Linked DNA regions of Macaca fascicularis. The protein of the gene in region 1 interacts with the protein of each later gene in a pairwise test. Links are inferred from orthologs where the notes say so. Each region holds a gene or a part of one and is shown on either strand. Other genes may lie near its edges. The genes, in order: ADAMTSL4, LMO2, CFAP206, APOL6, NATD1, SHFL and TOP3B.

What was found.
Region 2: the proteins of ADAMTSL4 (region 1) and LMO2 interact in binary tests that used the Homo sapiens proteins (3 or more experiments, as listed by UniProt). The two-hybrid records come from large-scale screens. The link is inferred for Macaca fascicularis from reciprocal best matches to the Homo sapiens genes ADAMTSL4 and LMO2.
Region 3: the proteins of ADAMTSL4 (region 1) and CFAP206 interact in binary tests that used the Homo sapiens proteins (3 or more experiments, as listed by UniProt). The two-hybrid records come from large-scale screens. The link is inferred for Macaca fascicularis from reciprocal best matches to the Homo sapiens genes ADAMTSL4 and CFAP206.
Region 4: the proteins of ADAMTSL4 (region 1) and APOL6 interact in binary tests that used the Homo sapiens proteins (3 or more experiments, as listed by UniProt). The two-hybrid records come from large-scale screens. The link is inferred for Macaca fascicularis from reciprocal best matches to the Homo sapiens genes ADAMTSL4 and APOL6.
Region 5: the proteins of ADAMTSL4 (region 1) and NATD1 interact in binary tests that used the Homo sapiens proteins (3 or more experiments, as listed by UniProt). The two-hybrid records come from large-scale screens. The link is inferred for Macaca fascicularis from reciprocal best matches to the Homo sapiens genes ADAMTSL4 and NATD1.
Region 6: the proteins of ADAMTSL4 (region 1) and SHFL interact in binary tests that used the Homo sapiens proteins (3 or more experiments, as listed by UniProt). The two-hybrid records come from large-scale screens. The link is inferred for Macaca fascicularis from reciprocal best matches to the Homo sapiens genes ADAMTSL4 and SHFL.
Region 7: the proteins of ADAMTSL4 (region 1) and TOP3B interact in binary tests that used the Homo sapiens proteins (3 or more experiments, as listed by UniProt). The two-hybrid records come from large-scale screens. The link is inferred for Macaca fascicularis from reciprocal best matches to the Homo sapiens genes ADAMTSL4 and TOP3B.

The regions. Positions count from the first base shown.
Region 1 is NC_088375.1:110,701,468-110,705,584, reverse strand, and holds the start of ADAMTSL4 (ADAMTS-like protein 4), read left to right. Parts: upstream 1-1,317; 5' UTR 1,318-1,408; intron 1,409-1,664; exon of another isoform or gene 1,665-1,817; intron 1,818-2,066; exon of another isoform or gene 2,067-2,206; coding exon of another isoform or gene 2,207-2,421; intron 2,422-2,422; coding exon of another isoform or gene 2,423-2,532; intron 2,533-2,534; coding exon of another isoform or gene 2,535-2,698; intron 2,699-2,700; coding exon of another isoform or gene 2,701-2,899; intron 2,900-2,901; coding exon of another isoform or gene 2,902-2,972; exon of another isoform or gene 2,973-3,107; intron 3,108-4,065; exon of another isoform or gene 4,066-4,117. UniProt on the Homo sapiens protein: Positive regulation of apoptosis. May facilitate FBN1 microfibril biogenesis.
Region 2 is NC_088388.1:31,709,443-31,713,579, forward strand, and holds the start of LMO2 (rhombotin-2), read left to right. Parts: upstream 1-1,337; 5' UTR 1,338-1,489; coding exon 1,490-1,496; intron 1,497-1,619; coding exon 1,620-1,845; intron 1,846-4,137. UniProt on the Homo sapiens protein: Acts with TAL1/SCL to regulate red blood cell development. Also acts with LDB1 to maintain erythroid precursors in an immature state.
Region 3 is NC_088378.1:87,849,811-87,854,094, reverse strand, and holds the end of CFAP206 (cilia- and flagella-associated protein 206), read left to right. Parts: intron 1-348; coding exon 349-492; intron 493-3,349; coding exon 3,350-3,580; 3' UTR 3,581-3,784; downstream 3,785-4,284. UniProt on the Homo sapiens protein: Essential for sperm motility and is involved in the regulation of the beating frequency of motile cilia on the epithelial cells of the respiratory tract. Required for the establishment of radial spokes in sperm flagella.
Region 4 is NC_088384.1:16,023,175-16,027,335, forward strand, and holds the start of APOL6 (apolipoprotein L6), read right to left. Parts: upstream 2,801-4,161; 5' UTR 2,722-2,800; coding exon 2,492-2,721; intron 1-2,491. UniProt on the Homo sapiens protein: May affect the movement of lipids in the cytoplasm or allow the binding of lipids to organelles.
Region 5 is NC_088390.1:20,671,312-20,674,811, forward strand, and holds part of NATD1 (protein NATD1), read right to left. Parts: intron 233-3,500; coding exon 114-232; intron 1-113.
Region 6 is NC_088393.1:10,631,531-10,635,750, reverse strand, and holds the start of SHFL (shiftless antiviral inhibitor of ribosomal frameshifting protein), read right to left. Parts: upstream 2,801-4,220; 5' UTR 2,690-2,800; coding exon 2,669-2,689; intron 2,197-2,668; coding exon 2,073-2,196; intron 1,875-2,072; coding exon 1,825-1,874; intron 1,650-1,824; coding exon of another isoform or gene 1,511-1,649; intron 1-1,510.
Region 7 is NC_088384.1:31,160,359-31,163,858, forward strand, and holds part of TOP3B (DNA topoisomerase 3-beta-1), read left to right. Parts: intron 1-1,038; coding exon 1,039-1,195; intron 1,196-2,088; coding exon 2,089-2,202; intron 2,203-3,500. UniProt on the Homo sapiens protein: Releases the supercoiling and torsional tension of DNA introduced during the DNA replication and transcription by transiently cleaving and rejoining one strand of the DNA duplex.

The DNA.
Region 1 (4,117 bases):
ATATTAATAACAAGAGGCCGGGCACGGTGGCTCACGCCTGTAATCCCAACACTTTGGGAGGCTGAGACGGGCGGATCACGAGGTCAGGAGATCGAGACCATCCTGGCTAACACGGTGAAACGTCTCTACTAAAAATACAAAATACTATAAATATATTTTGTATATAAAATTTGTATAAAATTTTTGTAAAAATATTTGTATAAAAAATAGTATAAATATATACTATAAATATATTTTATAAAAATATAAAAATACAAAAATACAAAATACTAAAAATACAAAAAATTAGCCGGGCGTGGTGGTGGGCGCCTGTAGACCCGGCTACGGGGGAGGCTGGGGCAGGAGAATGGCGTGAACCCGGGAGGCGGAGCTTGCAGTGAGTCAAGATCGTGCCACTGCACTCCAGCCTGGGCGAAAGAGAGAGACTCCGTCTCGAATAATAATAATAAACATAACACAGAGTAAAAAGCAAAAGCCTTTTTCAGTTCTCCTCCAACCCTGAACCCCTCCCCAGATGTCACCAATACTACTGAGTTTGGGGTGCATTCTTCCATATATAAATAAAGAGACATATCCAAGTCCATCCCATATATTAGATTAGTCCCATTTTGCAGATGAGCAAACTGCACCACACAGAGGTGGAAGTATTTGTGGAAGACCACACAGCCGGCAAGTGCTGGAGCTGAGATTCAAAACCAGGTCACTCTGACTCAGAAGTCAGCACGTTGTCCTTCCGCTGAGTCCCGAGTGTAAAACCTTACTGAGGGAAAAACCGAAGCTCATAGAAGTCCCAGCAATCAGAACCACAGGGTTCACTGCCCAACACGGGAGAGCTAGGAGTGACTGAGCTTGCAGGTGAGGCTGCGTGGAGGAGAGAGCCTGGACCCACGCGGATCCGGGGCCGCGGGCACCTCCGTCCAGGGCGCCGCCCTCCCGGACCAGCGGCTCTCCCAGGCCGCCTAGCTCCAGGCGCCCCTGGAGGCCGCCCGCGCCGCGCCGCTCTCGCACCGCTCACCCGAGCCACTCGGAGGCCCGGGCTGCTTAAGTCCCTAATCCCAGCCGGACACGAGGACAGCGCCCGGGAGCGACCGCAGCCTCCGACCCCGGCTGGGCCCGCCCGGGCTTCTGCTCACGCAGCCGACCGGGGGCGCCCGGCGCGCAGCCCGGGGTGGGTGGTCCTGGCGAGCGGGACTGCGAGGCCGACCGTCCCCACCCCGGGACCGCCAAGGGGCGCGGGCTGGGGCGCGTGGCGGGCGGGGCGGGGGCGGGCGCGAGGGCGGAGTCGCGGCCGAGGCGGCGGTGTCCGGAGAGCGGCTCAGGGGCCGCAGTGGCCGCCGCGGAGCGAGGCTGCCTGTAGAGAGCGTCCGGGTGCAGAAGGGTTAACGGGCCACCGGGGCGCGCAGAGCAGGTAGAGACCTCCCCGAGACCCCGGCCCCGGCCGCCCCTCTCCCGGGTCCCGTTAGACCACCAGCCCCGCGCGCCCGCGTCGTCCCCTCTCCCTGCGCTGTGCGGTCGGTCGCGCCCCCGCCACGACCCCGGCCCCAGCTCCGGTGGCCTCGGACGATCTTCCAGCCCCTGGGGTCGAATTCCTGGGGAGGGGGTCTGATCCCGTGGAACTCTGGCCCCATCACCCGGGCGAGGAGTGAGCCAAAATTCCTCCTAAGTCACACAGCGAAGTTGGAAAACAGACCCACGACCTCCCCGCGCGGGCAGCGCCTCCTGCCCTCTCCCTAGGAGGGTGCTCTCGGACGGTGTGCCTCCCGCCCCCCTACTGCAACTCCTGGAGTTGGAGGACAGGGTCGCCGCGAGGGACGCAGGTGGGTGCCCTTGATCCAGTTCAGTCCGATGACAGAAGAGGTTGACAAAAAAGAAAGACACCTGTTGGGGTGGCCTGCCAGACCCAGGAGTGGAGGGCTCCATGAGGGCCAGGGAATTCGGACTCAGGACAGGGATTCTCTGTGGCTATTCCAGAAACATAGGGTCGAGCCACACTCTCCAGCAGGGAGACCTGGGGGTGAAGGGGTGAGCCCTGCTCAGGTCTCTGTTCCTTGGTTTTCACTGGGCAGTGTGGAGAGGTGTGGTCCGGAGGAGCCCACATTTGTCCAGACCAGGGTCTATTCTGGCACCAACCTCTGACCTCTCCTTTCCCCGTCCTGGGCCGTGAACGACACCAAATGAGGCACATGGAAAGGGGTGAGAAGCACAAATGTGCGTGTGTTTCTGCAGAGGAGGGGGCATGGGCCCCTGCCGGGCTGCGCAGGGGAGGGTGGGGTGGGACTTTTCCAGAGAGGGAGCCAGGCCTGGCCCGGGCCCCAGGAGCTCACGTCACCCCCACCCCTCACTTCTCCAGGGAACTGCCAAGGCCAAACCCAGCTCGGGACGGGATTATGTGTACTGGGTAGACCCGTGGAGAGGGGCGGTGAGATCTGGGTGGCAGAGAGAAACAGAGGCAGAGAGGGCATGGAGAGGGGTCGGCATCAGAGAAGGGGCCGGCAGTGACCATCACCCCCTTTCTTCTTCCCTCAGCTAGAGTAACAGAGTCAGGCAGAGCCTGAACACTTGGGTGGAACATGGGCCCTTCTCTGGAGACCCTGGCCTCCCCCGTTCAGTCAGGGCGGAGTTGCTGACCTCAGTGGCCGGCCCAGCCAGGGGAAGGAGTGGCCATCGGCAACCCCCTCCCCAACCCTAAACCGTGAGGCACGCCCGCTCTGGCTCAGCCACTCTGACCCCTCCCTCAAATTATGAGCCCTAGGTCTCAGGGAGGGCAGTGGGGCGCAGTGTCTGCCCCCAGGCACATTCCTTCCCTTCTCTTGGTCATTTTCTGCCCCAGAGCTGGCCCACCTCAGCAATTTGAGGGCTCCCTGGATTCCTTTCCCGGGTGCCTTTCAGATCCAACAGAAACATTTTTTTTTTTCCTGGAAAGCAGACCCAAGAGTGGGATGAGGAGCAGGGGTGGGAAGGCCTCTAAGTGAGAAGGGGGCAAGGAGAGTCAGGCTTTGTGGCTCGGGAGGGTTCCAAGCCTCACTTCTCCAGTGTTCAAAGCTGAACTTCAGATGGACTTCCTGCCTCTTGAGAATGAGAGGCCTGTGGCTGGGGCAAGAGGCAGCCCTGGCTGCACCTCTCCTTCCCGCTTCCCCAGCTGGTAGAGCCGCACAGGAAACAAGCCCTCACTGAACCAGTGCTGGATGCTGGCACCCAGAGTGGGTGTTACATTGCGGGCTTCTTCTCTAGAGATTAAACCGTCAACCCATTTAGCTTATCCCTTGGCCAAAAGTGTCTGAGATGTGCCTGGATGTTCCCGCACATCTCTTCCACAGAAGGGAAGAGAAAGCCAGGAGGCAAGTAGGACAGAGAGATGTCTGGGGAAGGTCTCGTTTCTGGAAGACCCGAGGAAGGGGCTTCTGGTGGATCCTCAGAGAGAGTGTCTGGCACATCCTCAGTGGAGCCTTCCTCCTCTACTTTCTAGGCACCTCTGGGAGGGCAGGAGTGGGAGCAGATGACAACCATTTTAGAAGGAGCCCTCTGGCTGGGTGCGGTGGCTCACACTTGTCATCCCAGCACTTTGGGAGGCCAAGGCAGGAGAAGCGCTTGAGGCCAGGAGTTTGAGACCAGCCTGTGCAATTTAGCTGGATCCCGTCTCTACCAAAAAATACAAAAATTAGCTGGGTGTGGTGGTGCACGCATGTAGTCCCACCTACTCAGGAGGCTGAGGAGGAAGGAGAGCCTGTGAGTTTGAGGCTACAATGAGCTTTGGTGGCACCATTGCACTCCAGCCTGGATGACAGAGTGAGATCTCCATCTCAAAAAAAAAAAAAAAAAAAAAAGCCGTTTGTGTGTGCCTGAGCCGGCCTAGAAACAGTCTCTAGGTAGGATTTGGGGAGGAGCTAAGAAGCCCCTACAGGGCCCAGGGGTGGGGACTGAGCCTTAGTTGGAAGGCTGAGGTCAGCCCCCGACCATGTAGCCTCTACAGATGGACAAGGCAGTGATCCTCCCTGCTCCCACCCTGAGGATCCTAAAGGGGTGGGCCAGTCTCACCACCTCCTCCACTCTGATCTGTCCTCCCAGCCCCAAGCTCTCTGGACACTGGAGAGGTAACCACCAGGCTTCTGTCCCTGCA
Region 2 (4,137 bases), on another chromosome or scaffold:
GTTATACTTGTAACAAGTCATGAAGCTTTGGCTCTGAACAGGGAAAATGAAGCACTCAGGGATTCACTTCTGACTTCAACTACCATCTTTCAGGGTGAGCTCATCCAGGCCCATGTGCCATCTTGAAAATGGGAACAAAAATGTATGCCTATGATCCAGACTGATCATATAAAACTATGGATCCTGAAAGTACGTTCCCTCTTTGCAAGCCTTAGTGACTGGCATCACGCACAAATAGGCCTTTCAGTTTCTGAACGCAGATATTTTCAAGGACCTCTGAGGCCCAGGAGAGACAAACGTTTTCTCCATGGAAGGGCAGACTATTGGCCTCCCCTCTCTTACCCTCTGTGTTCCTACCTCTTTCTAGAAGGAGGCTGAGAGGGGAAGCCTGAAACCCCAAATCAAGTCCGCCTTCTTTCTCTGTGCCTGACCCAGGGCAAAATAATCTCCCTAATACTGTTCTGGATCACTGGAAAAAACACTTTCTCTGGTCGGGGTACTACTGGCACTTTACATGGGGGGCAGTTTAACCGCAGGAGTCCGCTCTCTGAAAGGTGCTGAGGGAGGGGATTCCGACACCAGCCTACTGAGAGGAGCCCTGGCCCCACGAAGTCCCTCCCAGCCACCCTCCCTCTGGGATTAGCTGCCCTGACTCTGCTCAGGCGTCCCCAGCCCGTGCAGTCCCGGCTCGCGCACCCCCATCGCCTCTGCAGAGCGCGGCCGCAGCCTGGAGCCCGCAGCCGGTAGCCCGCAGAGCCGCGCTGTCCGGGGCATCCCGGTGCTCGGCGTCCGTGGACCTGGGATCTCGAACCTGGGACGGGCTCAAAATCCACTCGGAACACTTGCATTTCTGTAGGTGCTTATTTCACATTCTTGTTTTTTCTTGCTTGCTCGAGCTGTTCGTGGGTTACTTTCTGCCTTAGTTAAACCAAAAGGGAAAGGCTGAAGGGGGGAAGCCCTGAAGAATTATTTAGTGGCTGCCCAGCCTCCTCTCCAAGGAGAGGTGTTAGCTGAGCGGATCTCCCCGTCCCCGACACTGGCCCCTTTAAGAAGCCAAGTCAGTCCTGATGCTGCTGTTTGTATTGCTAATCCCCAGGAGCCCCGTTAAAAAAAAAAAAAAAAAAAAAAGAAGAAGAAGAAGAAAAAAGGGGAGGTGGGGGAACCGGGCAGCTGTCTCTTTAAATGTGATTTCCTTCTATTGTATTTGAATCGTGATCAGGAAAAAGGAAATGAAACCAGAGACAGAGGGAAGCTGAGCGAAAATAGACCTTCCCGAGAGAGGAGGAAGCCCGGGGAGAGACGCACAGTCCCCTCCCCGCCCCCAGGCCGCCGCCCCCGTTCTGCCCTCCGCGGCGAGCAGCGCCCGCTACCCGGGCCGAAGGTGCGAGGGGCTCGGGGCGGCCGGGCGGGCGTGCACCATCCCCGCGGGCGGCGCGGAGCCGGCGACAGCGCGCGAGAGGGACCGGGCGGCGGAGGCGGCGGGACCGGGATGGAAGGTTAAGTCCTGAGCAGCAGCAGCAGCTGCAGCCGCCCAGGGCCAGGCTGCGCGCCCCGGCCCCCGCCTCGGCCGCGGCGCGCCCGCAGCCCGGTGATTCGCTCTCTCTCTTTGGCATTTGAAGGGAGCGCGGTGACTGTCCTTGAGCGCGGAGGGGCGAGCTCGCCGCCGGAGCGCCGGAGCAAGCGGAGGCGCAGGAGCGGCGGCGGCGGCGCCCGAGCACCCGAGGGGGTCCGAGCCCCGGCAGCCGGCCAGCCCCGCGCCACAAAGGGAGCGCCCCTGCCGCCCGGCACGCCGCCTCCCTCCCCAATGTCCTCGGCCATCGAAAGGAAGAGCCTGGACCCTTCAGAGTAAGTGCGGCGCCCCTGCCCCTGCCACCCCCGGTGTCCACGGCCTCGCGTCCCGGAGCGGCTGGGGGACCCGGGCGGCCCTCGAGGGGACTCCAGGTGCGCGCCTGCGGCGTGCTCTTGGCCCCCTGTGCGGAGCGCTGGGCTCCCTCTTCCTCCCGGGTGACTTCGGGGGCGCTGGGAGAGGGACTGGGCGGTGGGCGGCAGGGAGAGGGGTCGGCTCGGCGCCTCTGCGGGCCACTCCAGGCTATCAGGACGCTGCCTAAAGCCACCGCGGGCCAGAAAGTTTGCACGGGAGCAGGCACAAGGGGAGCCTGGCGGCGTGCAGGTGCAGTCCGGAGAGCGTTCCATGCTTGACTCGGCTCCCTTCTCACCTCTCCTTCTCGGCCCTTTCTCTTTGTCCATTTGGTCTTGGAAAGGGGAACATTCCAAGTGGAGGCCTCCAGGGTCCCCAGCGGCCGCCTCCCCGGTCCGCAGGTGGAGCCGCTGCCAGCCGCGCGGGTAACGGGCGGGTGAGGGGTCCGACGGTCCACCTCGGAGCTGGCTCTGGGCCTCCGGGGATTTCTAGAGCAGCGAAATCCGGAGTAAATCTGAGTACGTGTAGCCCTCCTCGGGGTCCACCGATGGGGGCCTGTGAACCTCGAAAGTTAATGCACCATTTTGTGTACAGGTGAATTCTTCTAGGGAGTAGAGTCTCGTAGTTTTTAGCATAGTCTCAAAAGCGTTTGGGGTCAGGGAACCAGAGCTCTAATGAGCATTGACCGCATCTGTTTTCTGAGCCTCGTACTGGTTTGGAATGTTTTTCTATCTCTCACCAATTCTTTAGTGTTAACATGGGTAGCAAGGGGTGTTTAAGATATCATTTTCCTGTCAACGCAAATGCCCTTTTAAGAGTCATTAGCTGTCTGGTTTTGAGAATTTTTATTCCTTTGAAGTCCCCCTCTAATCCTTTGAAGGGATTTGTTACACAAGACCAAAGGAGCTGGTTAATGACTTGTCCATTTGTGCTTTTAAGAGACATTTGTTTTGTTTTTTCTTTTCCTGGTTTAAAAGAATTGTGCTTTCCTGCTTGAAATACCGCACACACACACACATACACCCTTCAATTTCGGCTTTCTATGGTGTTTATTTACCTGGGTTTTACCCTCAGTTAGCAGCATAAAAGCTCAGCATGTTCTCATAAAACACAGGAAGTACCACCATCCAATGAGAATATAAACATCACTATTCCGTCTTGAAGGTTAAGACACCAGTTCTGTAATGAGCTAGGTTTGTTGTAGCAAAAACCCCCACTTCCTTCAACAAATTCTCAGGAGAAAAATAACATTTCTTTTTAAAAGTATGTTTATGTCAACAATGGGTTTAAAGGGTGGTTTGATCACTTTTTTAAAAATAAACTTAAAATTACAACTGAGCTTTGAGTTTCAGAGACTGGGCAAGATCATAGTAACACAATAAGGGAGTGAATTGGATGAATTGGTGCCTCATGCCTTTTTGATCAGCAGAATTTAGTCACTAATCCTTTCAATAGAAGGTAAATCTGAAGGTTTCATTTCCCTGAAGGAAGTTTGCGTCTTTCAAAGTTTGTGCTTTTTCACTGAGGTTAGAAAACTGAAACATCCTAACTTCCTAACACAGCAGGTATCTACTGCTGGAGGCTCACCAGCTCCTTCCTTCACTTCACTATTTGCCCAGCGAAGATAGTTTCTGATCAAAGAGGGACAAGCTAGTTGAGAAATTGCAGCAGCACATTCTCCACCCCCTTAGAAATTGTTATGATTATCCCAGAAATCCAGGCTGAAGTGATACTCAGGTGTAATATTCAAGATAAGGGTCTGGGAGAATATAAAATATTAATTTGAGGGTGAATCAACCTCATTCATTGTCTTGGATTGCCCACTAAGTATAATGTGATATTATCAATTAATTATAGAAAGACAGAGCCAATATCTTATACTTTACTTCTCCATCTCATCTCAGGCCATCACCATAACTCTTTTACTTTACGTTCCTCCTGTTGTCCAGTATCCTACTAGATGCTTCATTGTGTACTTCCTCAAAGCCGACTTGGGTCATTACAATCAGCATCTCCAAATTACAGATGGAGACTTGCCTAGCTATATGCAAATGAAACATTTGGACAGAAAGCCAGCCAGAATTCATGAACACAGAGATTCCCTTGCTATGCCACTGGTGGCCCCCACTGCCTCCCCTGTGAGTAACAAGAGCAGTTCATTTGAATTCCAGGCAGTTTTGCACCAGCTAAGGGCAAATTATCCTCTTTCACAGTCCTTT
Region 3 (4,284 bases), on another chromosome or scaffold:
GTACTGAGCTCACTGCCTGGGTGATGGGTTCAATCCTACCACAAATCTCAGCATCGTGTGATATACCGTTGTAACAAACCTGCACATGTGCCCCCCTGAATCTAAAATGAAAGTTAAAAATAAATACCCCCTACATAAACAAAATCATGAAGCCGTAATTCCCAGAAAAACAATTATATTCAGCTCATTAATTATGTGCTTATTTTCTTTATTGGTATTTACAAGTATATTCCATGTCCAAAAATTCTTGTTTTTTAAGTGTTTTGTCAGTTTTAGCTAAATATTTTAGTTATCGGTAAATAATGTTTATTTTTTCCAAGCACTAATTACAAAACTCCACTTCTTTAGATGAGAGATGCTGACAAACATTATATAAAACCAATTACAAAATGTGAAAGTAGCACACAGACGGATACACACATACTGCCACCAACAATTGTGAGATCATATGAGTGGAATGAATGGGAATTAAGAAGAAAAGCTATAAAATTGGTTTGTAACAATATTTTCTAAAATTATATGTTGGGGAATTTTAATCTGTTGTTAAAGAGTTGGTAAATTATTTATATAAAATAACGAGTTTTATACAGTGTGTTCTTTGCTAACAAAAATATAATTTATAATTTGCTAGGTTTACATTATAAGATTGTCTTCTAATTTTAAGCATATGTAGAACAATGGTAATTATCTATCTATCTATCTATCTATCTATCTATCTATCTATCTATCTGTCATCAGTTTTAAAACTTGGTGCTAGTATTTAAAGCACTCCCAACTTCCTTTAATCACTTAAGGTATACCATTCTTTTTTTTTTTTGTTTTTTGGACCTTTTCTATTAAAGCATAGATATTTTCCTCTGAACAACGTATTATCTCCAGACCCTGAGCACTCTCATCCTTCTGATTCTCAGTCACCTTAATTACAATATACCTACCCTTAAAGCCTGTCTTCGAAACTCTCATCCCTGTCCAATTCAGTGAAATTCCCCCCACCAACCCCTCTTTATAGTATCTTGTCATTTTAAACAATGAATATTTATAGTATGGAAAAAATAAAATCTTTTATGTCTGTAGCCCCTTTTTAGTATATTTTATCCATCTCTTTAACTGAAATCAGGTGTGGAAATAAAATGCCTACCCAAATGTGAACAAAGGGAGGCTATTTATTTAGAGCTTGCTATAGCAAGGGAGTCAGACACTGTCACTTGTTGTTTGGTAGACTGAAAGCATGCAGAGGAGTAGGAAAGCTTTATAGTCAGAAAAGGGGGAAGCCTTTAGGTGTTCTCTGATTGTAGGTTGTTAACATGAGAAAACTGGAGGCAGGCTAACTAGAAGCAGGGCATTTTATGTGATTGGTTTGGTGAGCATATCTAGGTTTCTCTGGTTGGTCCTGAGTTGGGGGAGAAGGATCCAAAACATGGAGAAGCTGGCTAAGTCCTCAACATTCTGGGTCAATTGCTACAGCTACAGAGGTTGAGACTGGCTTCCCCGACTGGTCGATACAGAGGCTGCAAGTTAAGGAGTTCTATTGTCACATATGGTCTAGCCTTTGTCCATTTGTATATTCAGTCTCTCACAGGCTTCCCATTGACCACATTATTTCCTTTGCTACTCACTCTGGTGGCAACTTTTCAGTTTCCTGGCATGAGGAAGGATCAGTTTCCCTATATATCTTCCAGATCATTGTTCCATTAGTATTCCTTCCTATCAGTTACTCTTCTGTAGTTCAAGAAATGCCCAATCCCCATATTATTTTCTATTATCTACTAAACTCACTTGAGTTCATCAGACTTATTAGGTAACATATATATCCCACGACTTTGTTCTTCATGGGCTAATTGTCTAGCAAGTGATATTGTTACATTAAAAATATTTCAGTACCTCCTTGTAAGTGGTGTAACAGAAATGAAATGAAAATTCTACTAAATTAACATAGGTGATATTTTAGGTTGCTTTTGAGATACAAATAGGCAAAGAGGAGGAGGGAAATGATGGCTGGATAGGATATGAGAGATAGAGGTGGCAACATAGGTATGGACTGGAAATGTTAAGAGAATGGAGTATTCAGGGGTCTGAACTTCACACTGACTGAGCCCTCTCTTCCCATTCCTCAATCTCCACTTAATTCTGACTCTCACCTTGGGCCTTATTATTCCCTAGAACTGTATTATATTGAATGCCAGCTCCCCAAGTGTCACCTACCCAACCTGTGGATAAGACAAAGCTGAGTTTACTGCTTATAGCCATAAGGGAAAACACCACCTCAACAGTGCTTTGGCAGTGTCTCAGAAGAGGAACTGCAAAGTCAGAATTTATTGAGAATTTGAAGTTTGCTAAGGCAGGTCTTCCAATGACTGAGGTGGACTGGGGGTAGGATGGAGGTTTGAATCGGATTGGGTAAGGATCATGAAAAAGCAGTCCAGCATTGGTGGGAATAGCAAGAAGATTTTTTGAGGCAAGGGATGCAGACTCTTAGGACTGAAACTGTGTGCCGATGCTTACTACTGAAGAGTTGACACATCTTTGAGGTAGTACTGAATGAGCAATCAAGTTATTTGCTTAGGCAAGAGTCTCTTGGAATGGTAAAATTATGCTAATGAAGACAGTGGAATAGTAAAGTCTTATTAATGTGGACAATAACCTGGGTGTTGGGGAGTAGTTTCGGTTCTCAGTCATCTGCAGTATCTCAAACTCTGAAAATGTTTCCTCTAATTCCAGGTGTCTCCTTCTTCACTCACATGCTATAATGCCTTCTAAGGTTTTTCTTGGCCTTTACTATAACCGCAGCAACCTTATTCTTCTTTTTATAAGCTCCTCCTTGCTTCCCAGCCTGAGTAATCTGTTTAACCTCACATTTACTAGTAATCTATAAAGGGAGTAAGCAAAATGTAGAATACTGTAAAATACAAATGGAAAGCATCAGACTCTTTTATGTTAAAAATCTAGGGTGAAGCCCATTTTTAAAAGATAATACTGTATATAAATCTTAAATTTTTGTCAAAAAAAATATAGTGGAAAAATCCAAGTTATAAGAATCTCAAAGTATAATAATGAAGGAATTAGATTATATTAACAAATAACTGGTTGAGTTCACTGTAATTTTGAATCTGTATGTTTTTTGAGGTCAATTTTCAACATTTTACATATTTTTCTACTTCTTGGTAAGGGATATTTAATTTTCTGTTATGTTCTAGATTTTCCAGTGTTTTATAGAAAAAATGCTATGTTATGGAATTAATTTCTTGTGGATTGAAGACAAAAATAGGCAGATATTAACTGGTATCTGATAATATTTCAGGTTATTTGTTCTTTAGAGAAATGTTAATTCCTGTATTCTCTTTCTCTTTAGGCTAATTTGCACCAGAAAGTTACTCACTCAGTACAAACTGATCTCAGTCACTTGAGAAGAGAAAATTGTTCCCAGGTGTACCCTCCAAAGGACACTAGCACCCAGTCCATGAGGGAAGACAGCACTGGGGTGCCCAGGCCTCAGATTTACCTGGCTGGTCTTCGTGGAGGAAAGAGTGAAATCACCGATGAGGTCAAGGTGAATTTAACTAGAGCTGTGGATGAAACCTAATTAGAAACAACGTTTTAAAGTAGATGCTACTCAATTATGAACACTAGCAAGTACTTAAAGGTATATTAACATCTATAAAAATTAATTTTGTGGGGTGGCATATTCATTGGTTGTATGTTTATTGGGTTCCCACATTTTATCAAACTGTTTTCTGTAATACAGTTTTCATTCTGTTGAAAAATAAAACTGTCCATTTATCTTTTATTTGTTAGAAAAAGTTTGTCAGCATTAAGATTGAAATTATAACATTTAGATAGAAATATATTATAAGATTATTACTGGAATAGAAGTCTATTTCTAAACCATATTTAGTGTTAAACATTACAAACTTAAAACCTAATCAATATTTTCAGCTTTATTAGCTATTAAATGTTACCATAGATTAAACTGATACGTAACAAACCTTACTAATTTGGAACAATTGGAGCAAAGGTCCACGTGATGTTTTTTTCTCTTTCTTTCTTTTTTTTTTTTTTTTTTGAGACAGGACCTTGCTCTGTCACCTAGGCTGGAATGCAGTGATATAATCACAGCTCACCACAGCCTCAACTTCCTGAGCTAAAGCAGTCCTACCTCAGCCTCCTGAGTAGCTGGGACCACAGGCGTGTGTTACCACACCTGACTAATTTTCAAAACAATTTTCTGTTGAGACAGAGTTTCACCATATTGCCCTGGCGGGTCTCGAACTCCTGGGCTCAAGCGAT
Region 4 (4,161 bases), on another chromosome or scaffold:
ATTCTTATAGCCATTCATTTTCTAATTGTTTGAATACAAGTTTATGGTTGAAAATTTAGAAATAGATTATAAAATCCACCTGTACACTCACCACATGGAAATAAAAACTAGTGACATTTTATTTTACAAACCAAAAATTTAAATGAATGCTGTTCATGTAGTTTGTGTGAATTCTTGTCACTTAACATTGTATCATTGGGGCTGGGCACGGTGGCTCAAGCCTGTAATCCCAGCACTTTGGGAGGCCGAAACGGGTGGATCACAAGGTCAGGAGATCAAGACCATCCTGGCTAACACAGTGAAACCCCGTCTGTACTAAAAAATACAAAAAACTAGCTGGGCGAGGTGGCGGGCGCCTGTAGTCCCAGCTACTCGGAAGGTTGAGGCAGGAGAATGGCGTGAACCCGGGAGGCGGAGCTTGCAGTGAGCTGAGATCCGGCCACCGCACTCCAGCCTGGGCGACAGAGCGAGACTCCGTCTCAAAAAAAAAAAAAAAAAAACATTGTATGGTAGTAGTTCCCCAGGTGATATATAGAAACCGTGTCGCATTTCATTATACGAATGTATCACTACACATTCAGTAACTTTCTCGCTGTTGAAACTTTGGGTTGTTTTCAGTTATTTTAAAAGTTTGTATTTATAATTTTTGGTTAAAATCCTTATATAGATGTGTGTCTACATGTTTGTTTATTTCTTTGGGGCAGTCTATGAAAAAGAATTAATGCGTCAAAGATAAAAACGTTCTCCCCACTCTGGGATGTGAAGCTCGGTTTGGTTTGAGGGGCTTGGCACCTTTAAGGACTTACTTTCGCCAGACATACATCTACCTGCTTTACGGTGACCCTGTGAAATCGATGCTAAGATTATGCCCATTTTACAGATGTGCAAACTGAGACATAGGGAGGCCAGTGTTACACAGTAAGCAGGAGAGCCTGTACGATTCCAGCCACGCTGAGTCTGGAGTGGTCGGTCCCAAGCAGGGTACATTTGCTCCTCAGGGACGTTGCTAATATCTGGAGACATTTTTGATGGTCTCAGCTGGAGAGGGTATGTAGTGGGCAGATGCCGGGGATGCTGCCAAGCACCCTACAATGCACAGGACGGCCCCCACAACCAGGGATCACCTGGTTAAACATGACAAGGGTGCCGGGGGTGAGAGACCCTGGTCTGGAACCCCATTTTTCACCAGAGTCCCCCAGTACCTCTCCCATTTTTTTTTTACATTAGTCCTATGGGATGCAGGGCAAAGGTAACAGCAGGAAACTCATCTGAGCAGATCCCATTCCCTCCCCTCTGACCTGCTCTCGGTGGTTGTGAGATGAGAGTTGTATTGGGAGAGGATTTGAGACATTATTTTCATTTGAAAGCTTATAGGATATTTATGACAGTCTTTCCTTACCTGCCTTCCCCCACAAAACCAGCTTCTTCAGATACACAATCTAAGTAAGAAAAGTCTGCTTACTTTGAAAACACAGCTTCAAGATAATCTCCCAATTTTTTTTTTTTTTTTTTTTTGAGACAGGGTCTCACTCTGCTGCCCAGGCTGGAGTGCAGTGGTGTGATCACTGCTCACTGCATTCTTGATTTTCTGGGTTCAAGTGATCCTTCCACCTCAGCAACCCCCTATCCACCCAGTAGCTGGGACTACAGGTGTGCACCATCACGCCCAGCTAATTTTTGATTTTTTTAGAGACAGGATCTCACTATGTTGCCCACGCTGGTCTCAAACTCTTGGGCTCAAACAAGACACTTGCCTTAGCCTCCCAAAGTGCTGGGATTACAGGTATGAGCCACTGCGCCTGGCCTAGTCACCCTAATATTTATCACAAACTCCCTCACCCTCTTCCTTTTTTTTTTTTTTTTTTTTTTTTGAGACGGAGTCTTGCTCTGTCGCCCAGACTGGAGTGCAGTGGCGCGATCTCCACTCACTGCAAGCTCCGCCTCCCCGGGTTCCCGCCATTCTCCTGCCTCAGCCTCCTGAGTAGCTGGGACTACAGGCGCCCGCCACCACGCCTGGCTAATTTTTTGTATTTTTAGTAGAGACAGGATTTCACCGTGTTAGCCAGGACGGTCTCGATCTCCTGACCTCGTGATCCGCCCGTCTCGGCCTCCTAAGGTGCTGGGATTACAGGCGTGAGCCACCGCGCCCAGCTGAAATCACCTGCTTTCTAACTGCCAGATCACCTCTGCTTAAGCCCTTGGATCCCCAGCAGTGGAGGGGCAAATGCAGCTTGGCTAGTCACATCACATGCTTTATCACGTTTTGATTTAACCCTCAAATGGCTGTAAGGGACAGAAACCTACCGGGTTTAACATAGGAGAAATTGATCCTCAGACTCTCCCCATGCTCTGGCTGGCATTTGAACCCCGCTGCTTGGACAGCAGCTCTTTCTCCTGAGTCAGGTGCCTAAAGCTAACCCCTTGGGGGCTTTGTCCTTCAGGGACTAGAGCAGCAGCCCCCTTCTCCCCCAACTTCTGCCTGCCATCTCACCTTCTCTCCACGGAGCTCTCCTTTGTGGCCTCGGGTCCCGAGGGAGAGGAAGATCCTGAACCTCTGTCCTTGACTCTCCGAGGCCCCCGGTCCTGCAGGAGGCTGTGAGCGTCTGGGCTGGAGAAAGACTGTAGGGTGGCTTTTGAACAGGAATTGATTGCAAAACTGGTTTCTGTTAAGTGCTGCAGGAATAAAAAAAGCGAAACTCTCGGGCTCTTCCAGGAAATCATGGGCTCCAGCTGTGCACTTTCATTTTCCTTTTTGCCTGTTTCTCTAACTGCATGCACAACAAGATGAAAGAGCAGAATCAAAGTCAGAAGGCCTGAGTCTCTCGTCTCTGTCCTGGCTGTGTTATAGGATGGACCTATATGGGGTATGAAAATAGCTCCTGTGGCTTAGAGCTATGGTGAGGAGCCCATGAGCAAGCGATGGGGCACCTGATGAATAGTGGATTCACAGTAGCGATCATCACTGATTGTTCTGAAACTGCTTCCCTCCACAGCATCTTGATGTGGATAACAGCCCTATGAGGTGCACGGCCGGCATTTAAGGGCTAATAACTCTGAAATGCAGAATCCTCTGAAAATGGAAACTTTTTTATTTTATTTTTTATTTTATTTTTGAGATGAAGTCTTGCTCTGTTGCCCAGGCTGGAGTGCAATGGCACGATCTCGGCTCACTGCAACCTCCGCCTCCTGGGTTCAAGCTATTCCCCTGTCTCAGCCTCCCCAGTAGCTGAGATTACCTGCGCCTGCCACCACGCCTGGCTAATTTTTGTATTTTTAGTAGAGATGGGGTTTTATGTTGGCCAGGCTGGTCTCAAACTCCTGACCTCAAGTGATCCACCCACCTCAGCCTCCCAAAGTGCTGGGATTATAGGTGTGAGCCACTGCACCCGGCCTGAAAACAAAAACTTAAAAAAAATAAATAATTTATTCATTTAGTGGCAAAACCTGACCTGATCTGGCATGAATTCACTTATGGTTTTTATGTCTCTTGCTTAATTTGAATATTCACTGTCACTGCAAAAATATTAATGTGTTTGACTGAGGAGGGCTGCTGGGGGTGGGTGGGTTACATAGTACGTGATACCTGAACCCCATTACTTTTCTAAAAATTAATTGGGAACTCTGACATGCATATGGCCTCAAGGATTGGAGATACAGGATGTGATACTCTGTCTCCCACTTTAAGGAAGAGGAAACTCAGGCTTCTAGAAGTTAGTGATTACACAGCTAAGAACCAGTCCTAGGCGCTGTGTCTGCAAGAATGAGCCCACAGTGTGGTTACCGGCTGAGATCTGTGTCTCTCTAGCATTTCTGTCAAGTTGTGATCAGAAGTCACGTGGTTTGCAGAAATCCCCAGTCACCACCCCTAGCTGAGGCCACACTGGGTGCTGTTGCTTTGCAGAAGGCGTGGCCCACCTAGCCAGTCCTGCCTTTGCGACGATGGAGGCCACCTCCTCTCCCTTGGCCCTACGAGCAAGAATGAGGGGTTAAGCGCTGCTGAGTTGGGTCCTGTAGGGGCCTTTCCAACCCTGGCATCCCAGATTCCACAAGCCAGCCCTGCTGTGGCCTCCCACACTTGGAGAACACTCTAAACACAGCCTGACCTTGAAGACAACTTGGCTGCCTGGCTGGGGTCGCTGAGCCATCCCAGGCCTGCCTGCT
Region 5 (3,500 bases), on another chromosome or scaffold:
CCCAGGGCCAAGAAGCAGGCTGGACTGGCCACCAGGGCCACCGTCTCCTCTGAGGGAGGGTGGCAGCCCCCACGTCCCCGCTCCCACCTGGCCCTGCCGCCTGCCTACCCTACCTTGGCGAGGTGCTTGGCGATGCCGCGCCCACGGTAGGCATCTGGGACCTCGGTGTGCTGCAGGTCCACGATCCGCTTGCCCACGTACTCATAGAGCAGGACGGCCCGGTCATGACATCCTGGGGGTTGTGGAGACAAGTAAGCCTATGCTGACTCCCATCACAGTGGACTCAGGTGCAGAGACTGGGGTGGAGGGACAGGCATTGGGGGCCATTCAACTGCTACAGCTAAATCCTGAATAACCTCTCGGCGCCTCAGTCCCCTCATCCATAAAGTGGGGATACAATAAAATGTCCTTCATAGGCTGGTTTGGAAAATTAAATGAGGTAACCTCTGTGACATGCTTACAGCAGTGCTTAGAACACCTGAACCTCTGCTACTACGTCAGTCTTAGCATCCCAGAGCCCTACCACCCCTTCTGTAGCCCTGCTCTCTGCATCCCCACCCCACCACACCCCCGGATCTGGCCCCAGGACCCAGCATTGGACACAGAACAGGGCTCAGCAAATCTGCGACTAAGGCAGAGCATGAAGAGACAAGAGAGGCAGCGCTGTGCCACGCATCAGGACCACCTGCTGGACCCTGACCGAGATGCAGCAGGCAAGATCAGAGGCCCGTGGCAGAGTCCATGACGCTGGACACGGGAGACAGTAACAAATGCGTCTTCACACTCCACCAGGCCTGCCAGGCCTGGAGCTCACCAGTCCACCCCAAACTCCTGCTGGGCAAACAATGAACTGAAGTTTTTTCCTAACCACAGTTTTCAGTGTCTCATCTGTTTGCCTCTCCACCTACCCATCCATCCATCGACCCACCCATCCACTTATCCATCCACCAAATGTTTCCTGAGCCCCAGGTACTGTTTCAGATGCTGGGAATATAGCAGCAAACAAGCCAGACAAGGAGTCCTACCTCCATGAAACCCAAACGGGAGGAAGAATAAACATGAAAAGCAAGTGGATGTGTAGGATGCCAGGGAATGGGGGCAGGTGAAGACAGGAAGGAGAGGGCACCAGCCATTCTGAGGGAACGGTGTTCTGGGCAGAGGGAACAGCCATTGCAAAGGCTCTGAGGCGGGAGTGGGCCTGAATGAGGGGCAGCTGGAGTGGGGTGGGTGAGGGGAAGGGCAGAGATGGGGGCAGGGAGGTGATAGGGCAGGTCCTGCAGAGCCTCCTAAGCATTCTGAGCTGGGCGCCACTGGAAGCCCCTCAGCAAAGGGACGGATGCGATTCACGGATTCTGCTGCCACTGTGGGGAGAACGGATGGGGAGCAGGGGCAGGGAGCCCAGAGGGTGAAGACAGAACACAGACCAGGGCGGGGGCAGTGTGGCTGTGTGGAGCAGTGTTTTGACTGGATGGTATCTGAAAGTGTAGCCAGCAGGATTTACTGATGGCTCGGATGTGGTCGAGCAGGGAAAGGGGAGCCTAGGACAACACTGAGGTTTCTAGTTTCAGGGAGCGCCAAGTGTGTGAATGAAATAAACAAGCTGGGAGGGGGCCGTCAGGGAGGCCCCTCCAATGGAGGGGAAGTCACCGTGCCCAGCTCAGTGGCCCTCCGTCTCTCCTTTGATTCTCCCCAAAGCCTCTGAGTTGAGAGGGGAGTGCCGGGAAGGTGGTGCAGGGGCATGGCCAGGGCAGAGGTTCCAAGGTGGGAGACTCAACACGCTGGCACTTTCTCCACTCTTTAAAAGCACGCTGTGTTTCACGTGCTTTAACTTCAAAGCCCCAGAGAATCTGCCCCTAAAGCCTGCGCTGGGTGACACGAGGGGAAGGCTGACGGGCCAAGAGGTCCAACCACTAGTCCAGGGCCACCGGAACTGGGGCCAACGGCAGCAAGGAGGCTTTCTGGCCCTTGGTCTCTCCTTTGATTCTCCCCAAAGCCTCAGGAGATGGCTACAATTCATCTCCCCATTTCCAGAGGAGGAACTACTGAGATCCAGGGATCCAAGTCACACAGCAGGCCGAGATGACGCTGGAGCCCAGGCCCGCAGGTCCTGAGCCACAGCCATTCTTTCTGCTCCACCAACACACCTGCTACTTCCTGCACCCGCCATCGCCTAGGCATTTCCCTCTGACCGATGCCCTTTCCCCGTTCCCGCCAGGCCCAGCTGAGGGTTCCCCAGCCCCACTCCCCTCATGCCTGCAGCCCCGCCCCCGCACCGGCCCTGCTGCCTCCTCCTTGTGGGCCTGACTGTCCTTCTGTGGACTGTGCCTGCCACCCTGGCCAAGGCCCAGCTGTGGCCACTGCCGCCTGTCCTGGCTACACAGCAAGGGATGTGGTTCTTGGCTCCCCACCTGCTGGGGTTAATTCAACTCACCCAGGACAGGCGAGCAGAGAGAGGAGGCTATTTTGAGACTGACCCGGTCACCAAGGGAGCTGCCTACCTAACCTGGCCATTTAATTACCCCAGGCTCATTAAGGGCCTGCTATGTTCCAGCAGTGTTTGGGCTGCAGGGCAGGCAGCAGTGAACAAAACTGATGAAATTCTTCCTCATGGATCTTACCTACTGAGGAAGACACATAATAAGTAATATAATCATAAATAATACAGGGGCCGGGCACGGTGACTCATGCCTGTAATCCCAGCACTTCAGGAGGCAGAGGTAGGAGGATCGCTTGAGCCCAGGAGCTGGAGACCAACCTGGGCAACATGATGACCCAGTCTCTACAAAAATAAAAATAAAAGTTGGCCAGGCACAGTGACCCACTCCTATAATCCCAGCACTTTGAGAGGCCAAGGCGGGCGGATCACCTGAGGTCAGGAGTTCGAGACCAGCCTGGCCAACATGGTGAAAGCCCATCTCTACTAAAGATACAGAAATTAGCTGGGCGTGGTAGCGGGTACTTGTAATCCCAGCTACTTGGGAAGCTGAAGCAGGAGAATCACTTGAACCCGGGAAGCGGAGACTGCAGTGAGCCGAGACCGCACCATCGCACTCCAGCCTGGGCAACAAGAGCAAAACTCCATCTAAAAAAAAAAAAAAAAAAAAGGGTAGCTGAGCATGGTGGTACACACCTATGGTCCCAGCTATTTGGGAGGCTGAGACGGGAGGATCACTTGAGCCCAGGAGTTTGGGGCTGCAGTGAGATATGATTGTATCACTGCACTCCAGCCTGGGTGAGAATGAGACCCTGTCTGTAAATACATACATACATACATCACAGGTGATAAGCTGACAGGTGCCAAGGATCACTACACAGCAGAGGAGGGGTGGGTGGGGAGGGGCAGGGCTGCCACTGTAAAGAGGGCATACAGGGACCCCAAAGGAGATGTGGGGTATGAGCCATCCACTGGCGAGAACAGCATGTGCAAAGGCCCTGGGATAGGAGGTTGAAGGAAGAGCAAGGATGCCAGAGTGGCTGGGCCCGAACAAGCCGGGGGTGAG
Region 6 (4,220 bases), on another chromosome or scaffold:
TTCGTGAACCTAGCAAGTGACTTCATCCTCAGTTTGTCTGTGAAATGGGGATAAATAACAGGACCTGTCTCCTGGGGTCACTGTGGCGATGAAATAAATCAATTCCTGGAGTCTTGCCATATGGGAAATACTAAATGAATGCTACCCTCTGCTATTGTTATTATTATATTTTTGAGATGGAGTTTCACTCTTGTCGCCCAGGCTGGAGTGCAATGGCGTGATCTCGGCTGACTGCAACCTCCACCTCCCAGGTTCAAGTGATTCTTCTGCCTCAGCCTCCCAAGTAGCTGGGATTACAAGCATGCACCACCACGCCCAGTTAATTTTTTGTATTTTTAGTAGAGACGGGGTTTCACTATGTTGGCCAGGCTAATCTCGAGCTCCTGACCTCAAGTGATCTGCCCGCCTCAACCTCCCAAAATGCTGGGATTACAGGCGTGAGCCACCGCACCCGGCCCCTCTGCTATCATTTTTATCATACTTTTATATGTATAAATGTAGACTATGATACATATTTTACTATCCTCTGGGTTTTTTTGTTTTTTGTTTTGTTTTTGAGACGGAGTCTTGCTCTGTTGCCCAGGCTGGAGTGCAGTGGCGCGATCTTGGCTCACTGCAAGCTCTGCCTCCCGGGTTTACGCCATTCTCCTGCCTCAGCCTCCTGAGTAGCTGGGACTACAGGCGCCTGCCACTACGCCTGGCTAATTGTTGTTGTTGTTGTTGTTTTGTATTTTTAGTAGAGATGGGGTTTCACCATGTTAGCCAGGATGGTCTTAATCTCCTGACCTCGTGATCTGCCCGCTTTGGCCTCCCAAAGTGCTGGGATTACAGGCGTGAGCCACCGCGCCTGGCCTTTTTTTTTTTTTTGAGACAGAGTTTCGCTCTTGTTGCCCAGGCTGGAGTGCAATGGCGTGATCTTGGCTCACTGCAACCTCTGCCTTCCAGGTTCAAGCGATTCTCCTGCCTCGGCCTCCCGAGTAGCTGGGATTACAGGCATGCGCCACCATGCCCAGCTAATTTTGTATTTTTTAGTAGAGACAGGTTTCTCCATGTTGGTCAGGCTGGTCTCGAACTCCCGACCTCAGGTGATCCGCCCGCCTCAGCCTCCCAAAGTGTTGGGATCGCAGGCGTGAGCCATGGCGCCAGGCCTATTATACTGTAACAGCCCTACACTGAGCCTTTCAGGCAGGCGAAATCCACAGTGTTCCCATCACCAAAGCTTTCGAAGAAGCAAAGTAGCCATGATGCACCTGTGCTTCAAAGCCATTCATTCATTCATTCATTCATTCATTCATTCATTCATTCATTCAACACAAAGGTTCCCTTCCCCTCCCTCTCTCTCCTCCCCAATCCCCTGCTCATCCCAGCCTTTCTAGAGACTGACACTAACAACCCTTCCCCACCTCCCAGCCTTTGCTCATGCCATTCCCTCCCACACCCTAAGGCCCCTGCCTTTCTTTCCCTTTCCCCTCCCAGGGCTCACTCCTCTCCATCCTTTAAGACTTGGTACCTCCTCCTCCAGGAAGTCTTCTCTGATCTCTGCCCCCCCACGATGGCCATAATCCTGACTCCTTTCATTGCCTAGTTTCATGGCTGTCCGCCTTTGAATACAATCAGCGCATAATGAGCGCCTACTGTTTGCAGGCTCCCTGGCCGGACAAACGATAGAGAGGTGAAAAAGTGATATTGGGTGATGAGTTACAGACCGACAATGCCTGGTCCCTCCTGTTTCAGAGAAGTGTCAGTCACCATGAACCGGTCGGGTCCCCCCTCTTGCTGTCCCTCCCGTGACCCGGTCCTTTGCGAGGGGAGGGGACAGGTTACCTGGGCATCCAGATCGTTACTTAGTTCTTGGCCATCTTTTTGCTTTACCCCTGCGGGGGAGAGTGCGTATAAGAGAAGGGCCCTTGAAGGGTCTGTGGGAGTTCCAGGCCACCCAGAGCCGCGATGCAGAGCCTCCCCGAGGCTGGGACCTCCGGGGGAGGTGATCTCAACGCCTCTCCCTAGACCACGCCCCCTCGGCGCTCCCACGCGCGGTCTCCGCACCAGGCCCGGGACCCCAGCAGCCTCACCGTACACGATGGAGCGCCCAACTCCTGTGTGGTCGCTGCCGAATTTCCTCATCAGAGCCCCCGCCTTCTTGGAGGATACCTTCCCATGAAACTTCTCCCGGAGGCGCCGGACGCTCTTCTCCAGCTGGGATGGGGACAGGGGGGTTCCGGTGGGCGAAGGGGAAGCGCGATCGTCCCTCCCCCATCTCTAGGCACCGTTCTCCCGGCCTGAACTTGACCCTTGGTTTTGGCCTCCGCCGCCCCCCCTTTCATCCCTCTACGGCATTTCCTGGAAAAAGCCAAAGTCCCCACATGGCGCTGGGGGAGGGCGCGGACTGAGGCGAGCGTCCCAGCCTAAGGTGGGGGGGCGGCCAGGTTATCTCTGGCCTCTGACCTTTGACCCTGCAGCCCCCGCTTTTCCTCGGAGAGGCCTCATTTCGCTCTGGGGAAACGTGGGAGTCACTTTCCTTTTCAAGGGGGGTGAGCGCCAGGCAGGGGTAAAGATCTGGGGTTCTAGGATGGGGGTCCCCAGGAACTGCGAAGCCCCCTCCGCGCCTCTCGGCCGCTCCTCGGAGTCTGTCGCGTCTGCCCCCGGCCCAGCCGTAGCCATCTCTTACCTCCACACCTTCCTGAGACATGGTGGCGGCGGCGCAGGTCCCCGCGAGGGTCCGCACTGCGCGGTTCAGCCGCCCCCCTACCTGGGCGCGCCCGTCGGTCCAGCAGCCGCGCAGGGCAGGGGGCGGTGCCTCGGGGCCGGCTCCGCCCTTCCTCCCCAGCCCCTGTTTCGCTTTCGATTCAGGGGGGACCGGGCGCGCTGGCTCCGCCCTGGCTCCGCCTCTGCTCTTGCGCCCCAAACCCAGGCGGTCGCCCCGGGTCTGCACCCTGCGGCGGAGCGCGCAGACCTCGGGCGGGGGAGGCGGCGCGGCCTCTGCAGTCGGTCACATGTCCCCACGCTGCGCGGGGTCCGCGTCTTCACGTCCCTCGTGGGGGCGGGGCCGCATCGGAAGGCCGCGGCGAGGCCCCGCGCCCCCCCACCCAGCGCGCGCTCCCCCAGTTCATCACCCTCCTCTCTGTCCTCCCTCCTTCCCCGGGAATCTGGCGCTCATGAGGACCTGGGCGCTTTTCCTGCCCTGAGTCTCTGTCCTAGCTAGGGTCACCTCTCTGAACCTCAGTTTACCCCTCTGTGAAATGGGGAGGATCCTGGTGTCTACACCATGGAGTGGAGTATATGCCAAGATTCCCGAGTGGATCGCGTAATAGCGCCTGGCTTGCAGTAGGCACTCAACTAGTCACTGGGCCACCTGCTGTGTGCCCTTGATAGGGGCAGGCAGTGTGTGTGTGGTTGTGGGGAGCGGTGCTTGAGAAAAACACAGATTCTTGGTCTCTCGTTGCCCGGTAGAATCCGGCTGTCTCAGGGATCCAGGGAATCTGCAATGGTTAAGAACCCCGTGGGCTGGACAGTTCTAACCCAGTACAGGGCGCATCAGGGAGCCGTTAGGTGGTGGGGCTCTGGCCCAGCCTGGGGACACAGAGATGGCTACTTCATTGGAGGAGGGGATGCTTTGTACAGTCACTGAAATTGGAGGTCTTAGCTCGGGGACGAATAGAGTGGGGAGTTGAGGCAGCCGTGCAGAGCCCCCAAAACAAGACTAAGTCTGGGGCTTTCGGGCAAGGGCTTCTCAAGCCCAGCACTCTTGACACTTTGGGCTGCCTGGTTCTTTGTGTGGGGGACTGTTCTGTGTGTTGGGGGACATTTAACAGCATCCCTGGCCACTGCCTGCTAGATGCCAGTGGCTCCTCACTCTCCCTGTTGTGACTACAAAAAATGTCTCCAGAGACTGCCAGATACTCTCTGAGGGGCAAAATAGCATTGTGTTCAACGACTCTAAATTTTTTTCTCCATTGCACACCTCTATAGGTAAAACTGTTAAAATTACACCCCCAGATGGATATTTATTTATTTATTTATCTTTTGAGACAAGGTTTTGCTCTGTTGCCCAGGCTGGAATGCAGTGGTTTGAATACGGCTCACTGCAGCCTCGAACTCCTGGACTCAAACAATCCTCCTACCTCAGCCTCCTAAGTATCTGGGATTACTGGCATATGCCACTATGCCTGGTTAATTTTCAATTTTTTTTTTTTTTTTTTTTTTTTTTTTTTTTTTGTAGA
Region 7 (3,500 bases), on another chromosome or scaffold:
ACTACAGGTGCTACAGGTATGCACCACTATGCCTGGCTAATTTTTGTGTATTTTGTAGAGACAGGGTTTCACTGTATTGCCCAGGCTGGTCTGAAACTCCTGAGCTCTAGCAATCCGCCCACCTTGGCCTCCCAAAGTGCTGGAATTACAGTTGGGAGCCACTGCGCCCAGGCTAAACAAAAATTTATTTTTTTGTTTGTTTGTTTTTTGAGACAGAGTCTCACTCTGTCACCCAGGCTGGAGTGCAGTGGCACAATCTCGGCTCACTGCGACCTCTGCCTCCTGCATTCAAGTGATTCTGATGCCTCAGCCTCCCGACTAGCTGGGATTACAGGCATTCGCCACCACTCCTGGCTAATTTTTATACTTTCAGTAGAGATGGGGTTTCACCATGTTGGCCAGGCTGGTCTCAAACTCCTGACCTCAGGTGATCCGCCTGCCTCAGCCTCCCAAAGTGCTGGGATTACAGGTATGAGCCACTGTGCCTGTCCAAGCATTTTGTTTTAATTAGCTGGGTGTGGTGGCGTGAGCCTGTAGTCCCAGTTACTTGGGAGGCTGACGTGGGAGGATCACTTGAGCCTAGGAGTTCAAGGCTGCAATGATCTGTGAATCCCCATTAATGCATTCCTGCTGGGCAACACAGCAAGACCCTGTCTCTACAAAAACCAAAAAGACCTAAAGAAAACTGTTTATTTAGCTGACAGAGATCACCTATGCCCTGCTCGATAAAGTGTGTTTGTCTGTGCTTTGGGGGTCCTGAGGAGAGTGTGCGGTAGATAGAATAGAATAGAAGGCTCCCTGGCCCGAGACAGTAGAAACCTCTGTCTACTCTCTCACTGGCTCTGTCACCCATGTACACACATGAATCCTCCCTAAGGCTATGCCCACTCTGCTCCCACTGACTTCTAAGCGGGGACACCACCTGGTGCCACCTCCCTCACGCACCACCCCTGGCCTTGGGCTGGACTCACATGGGTGGCCATAATAGTGTCTTGAGTGAATCAGTGACCAAAATACCTTTCTCTCCACTCCCTCCAGGTTTCAGACTAAATATTTCCAGGGGAAATACGGTGATTTAGACAGCTCTCTCATCTCCTTTGGGCCGTGTCAGACTCCAACCCTGGGATTCTGTGTGGAGAGACATGATAAAATCCAGTCCTTCAAACCAGAGACCTACTGGGTGCTGCAGGCCAAGGTTCCTTGCCTTTCTCTATGCATGCTGGGGCTTTCTGGGTTTGGGGCACGGATTCTGAGAGTCTTCCATCATCATCAGCTGGCAGGCCCCAGGCTGAGGGCAGAAGCGTGGACAGGTATACCTGGAAGTGGTCTGTGGTGCCCAGGGCTGAGGGACCCCAGCCTTCATGGGGATAGTGGGAAGAGATTGGGCCTGTATGTGCTGAATCTGGATAAGGGGGAACGAGTTCAGCTCTGGCAGTGCAGGGTGAGGTCACCTCACATGAATCACAGTGGCTGCAGTGGTCAGGTCCAAGCACTGGACTGAGGCCATTGACTTTCAAACTTTTTAAAATTCCTGGAACCCTTTCTTCAAATAAAAACCTCCACGGAAGCTCACTGTAAGACTTAATACAGCTAGGCACAGTCACTGATGTCTGTAATCCCAACAGCCTGGGAGGCTGAGGCAAAAGGATTGCTTGAGGCCGGGAGTCCAGGGCTACAGTGAGCTACGATTGTGCCACCGCACTCCAGCCTAGCAACACAGTGAGACCCTGTCTTGGAGCTGCTCTGGCTTGGGACCCCGGTGGTGGCCATACCTACCACTGGCCAGGCACTGGGGATAGGCAGGGGTGGTGTGAGAAGTAGGGGCTCATGTGCTTCTTAAGGACACATCAGCCTCAGCTTTGGGCTGCCTTCCTGAGACTGACTGCCTGGTTTCAGGGCACGGGGTGGAGAGGGCCAGATGTCAGCTTGCGTATCTGCCCGCCTGAACAGGTGCAGCTGTGAGCCATTAGAGCCAGGGCTGTTTTGCTCCCAGACAAGGAACAGCTTCATCTGTCCTGGTTCTTCCTGGCTTTGGGTTCACCTAGAGACTTTTTCTTGTGCGTTCACCCTTTATGCTTTTTCCTGCAGGTTAACACTGACAAAGACAGATGTCTCCTTTTGGACTGGGACCGAGTAAGAGTGTTTGACCGGGAGATTGCACAGATGTTTCTAAACATGACAAAGCTGGAGAAGGAAGCCCAGGTGCGCCTGCTCCACCCACACCTACCACAGTTGCCTTGGGTGAGGGTGGCCCTTGGATGCCTCCTGCTGGAGGAACAGCCTGTGATCCTAGGCCATGTCTTCGTCCCCCTTTCTAAAACACAGACATCTTTTTGGAAAGCCGAAAGCTTACTCCCCCATATACTCCTAAGATATTTCTGCCCGATGCAATAGCCACAGTGTACTGCATGCCCGCTCCATACCAAGCACTCTCCACGCCTGTGACCTTGTCAGACCCCTTCCACCCTCCCCTTTCCGCGTGACCCACTAGGCATTACCTCTGTGTGGCAGGACTCCATCTCACACAGAGATTCAAGCTAACAACTGTTGAGGGACCTGCGTGCAAATTGATGAACTTGTCCAAGGTCACAGCTAGCAGGGGATAGGCTTGGGATTCCAATTTCAATCAGCTTGCATGCTTTTATGGGATTATGTTTCTTACTCAGGGTTTCCATGAATTGAAAGGACATGCTGCTTGGCTGTTAGGAAAAGGGCGAGGTGACTGGGCTGCACAGGTGGGGCCACATCTGTGGCTATTGAAGTAAACATGCTACAGGTGTGACAGCTACCAGATCCATTGAAACACAGCCTGGCCTACTTAGCCACCTTCTCCTTGTCCTTCTCCGGCGTTCCTTGAGTGCCCTGTTGCCTGCCATGCCACGTCTCAGGCATCTGAGACTTCTAAAGCTGCTCCAGGCTGTCAGCATTGATCACATTCCTGCAAAGACACTGTTACCACCTCCAGGCCTCATGCCAGGGAGCCCAGCTTCACTGCTGCACGTAACAACTGGCCTCTGTGTTACCACCCACATCTGTCGGTCTGGAATGCAGAGGGCATTGCCATGACCAGCCTCCTTGGGATTGACAAGGGCAAGGGCCTGGGGTTGAGTTGTTTGGATTGTTTTTGCCACAGGCAAAACAAAGAGTTGTCTCTTCCAACAAGTGTTCAGCAGAGGTAGAGAGTGGTAGGACCCCAACCAAGCACAGCTCACGGATACACTCCACTAACCTGTATGGTGTTTACACAAATTCCAGAATAGTTACCAGCACTTAAAAATTATGAGATTCCATACGAAAATTCTGCCTTCCAGCTTCTCTTGAAAAAGCAGAAGAGGTAGCAATACTAGCAGGTGCAGGCAGCAGCCTTCCCCACAGCAAGGAGTGGCACTTCCCCTGGGACGGGCCCCACTTGCCATCCCTGTAGCTTGGCGGATGCCGGCTTCTGTAGGATTTCCATCTGCAGCCCTTCTGACTCTTCAATCTTCCAGGTTTTCTCTCAC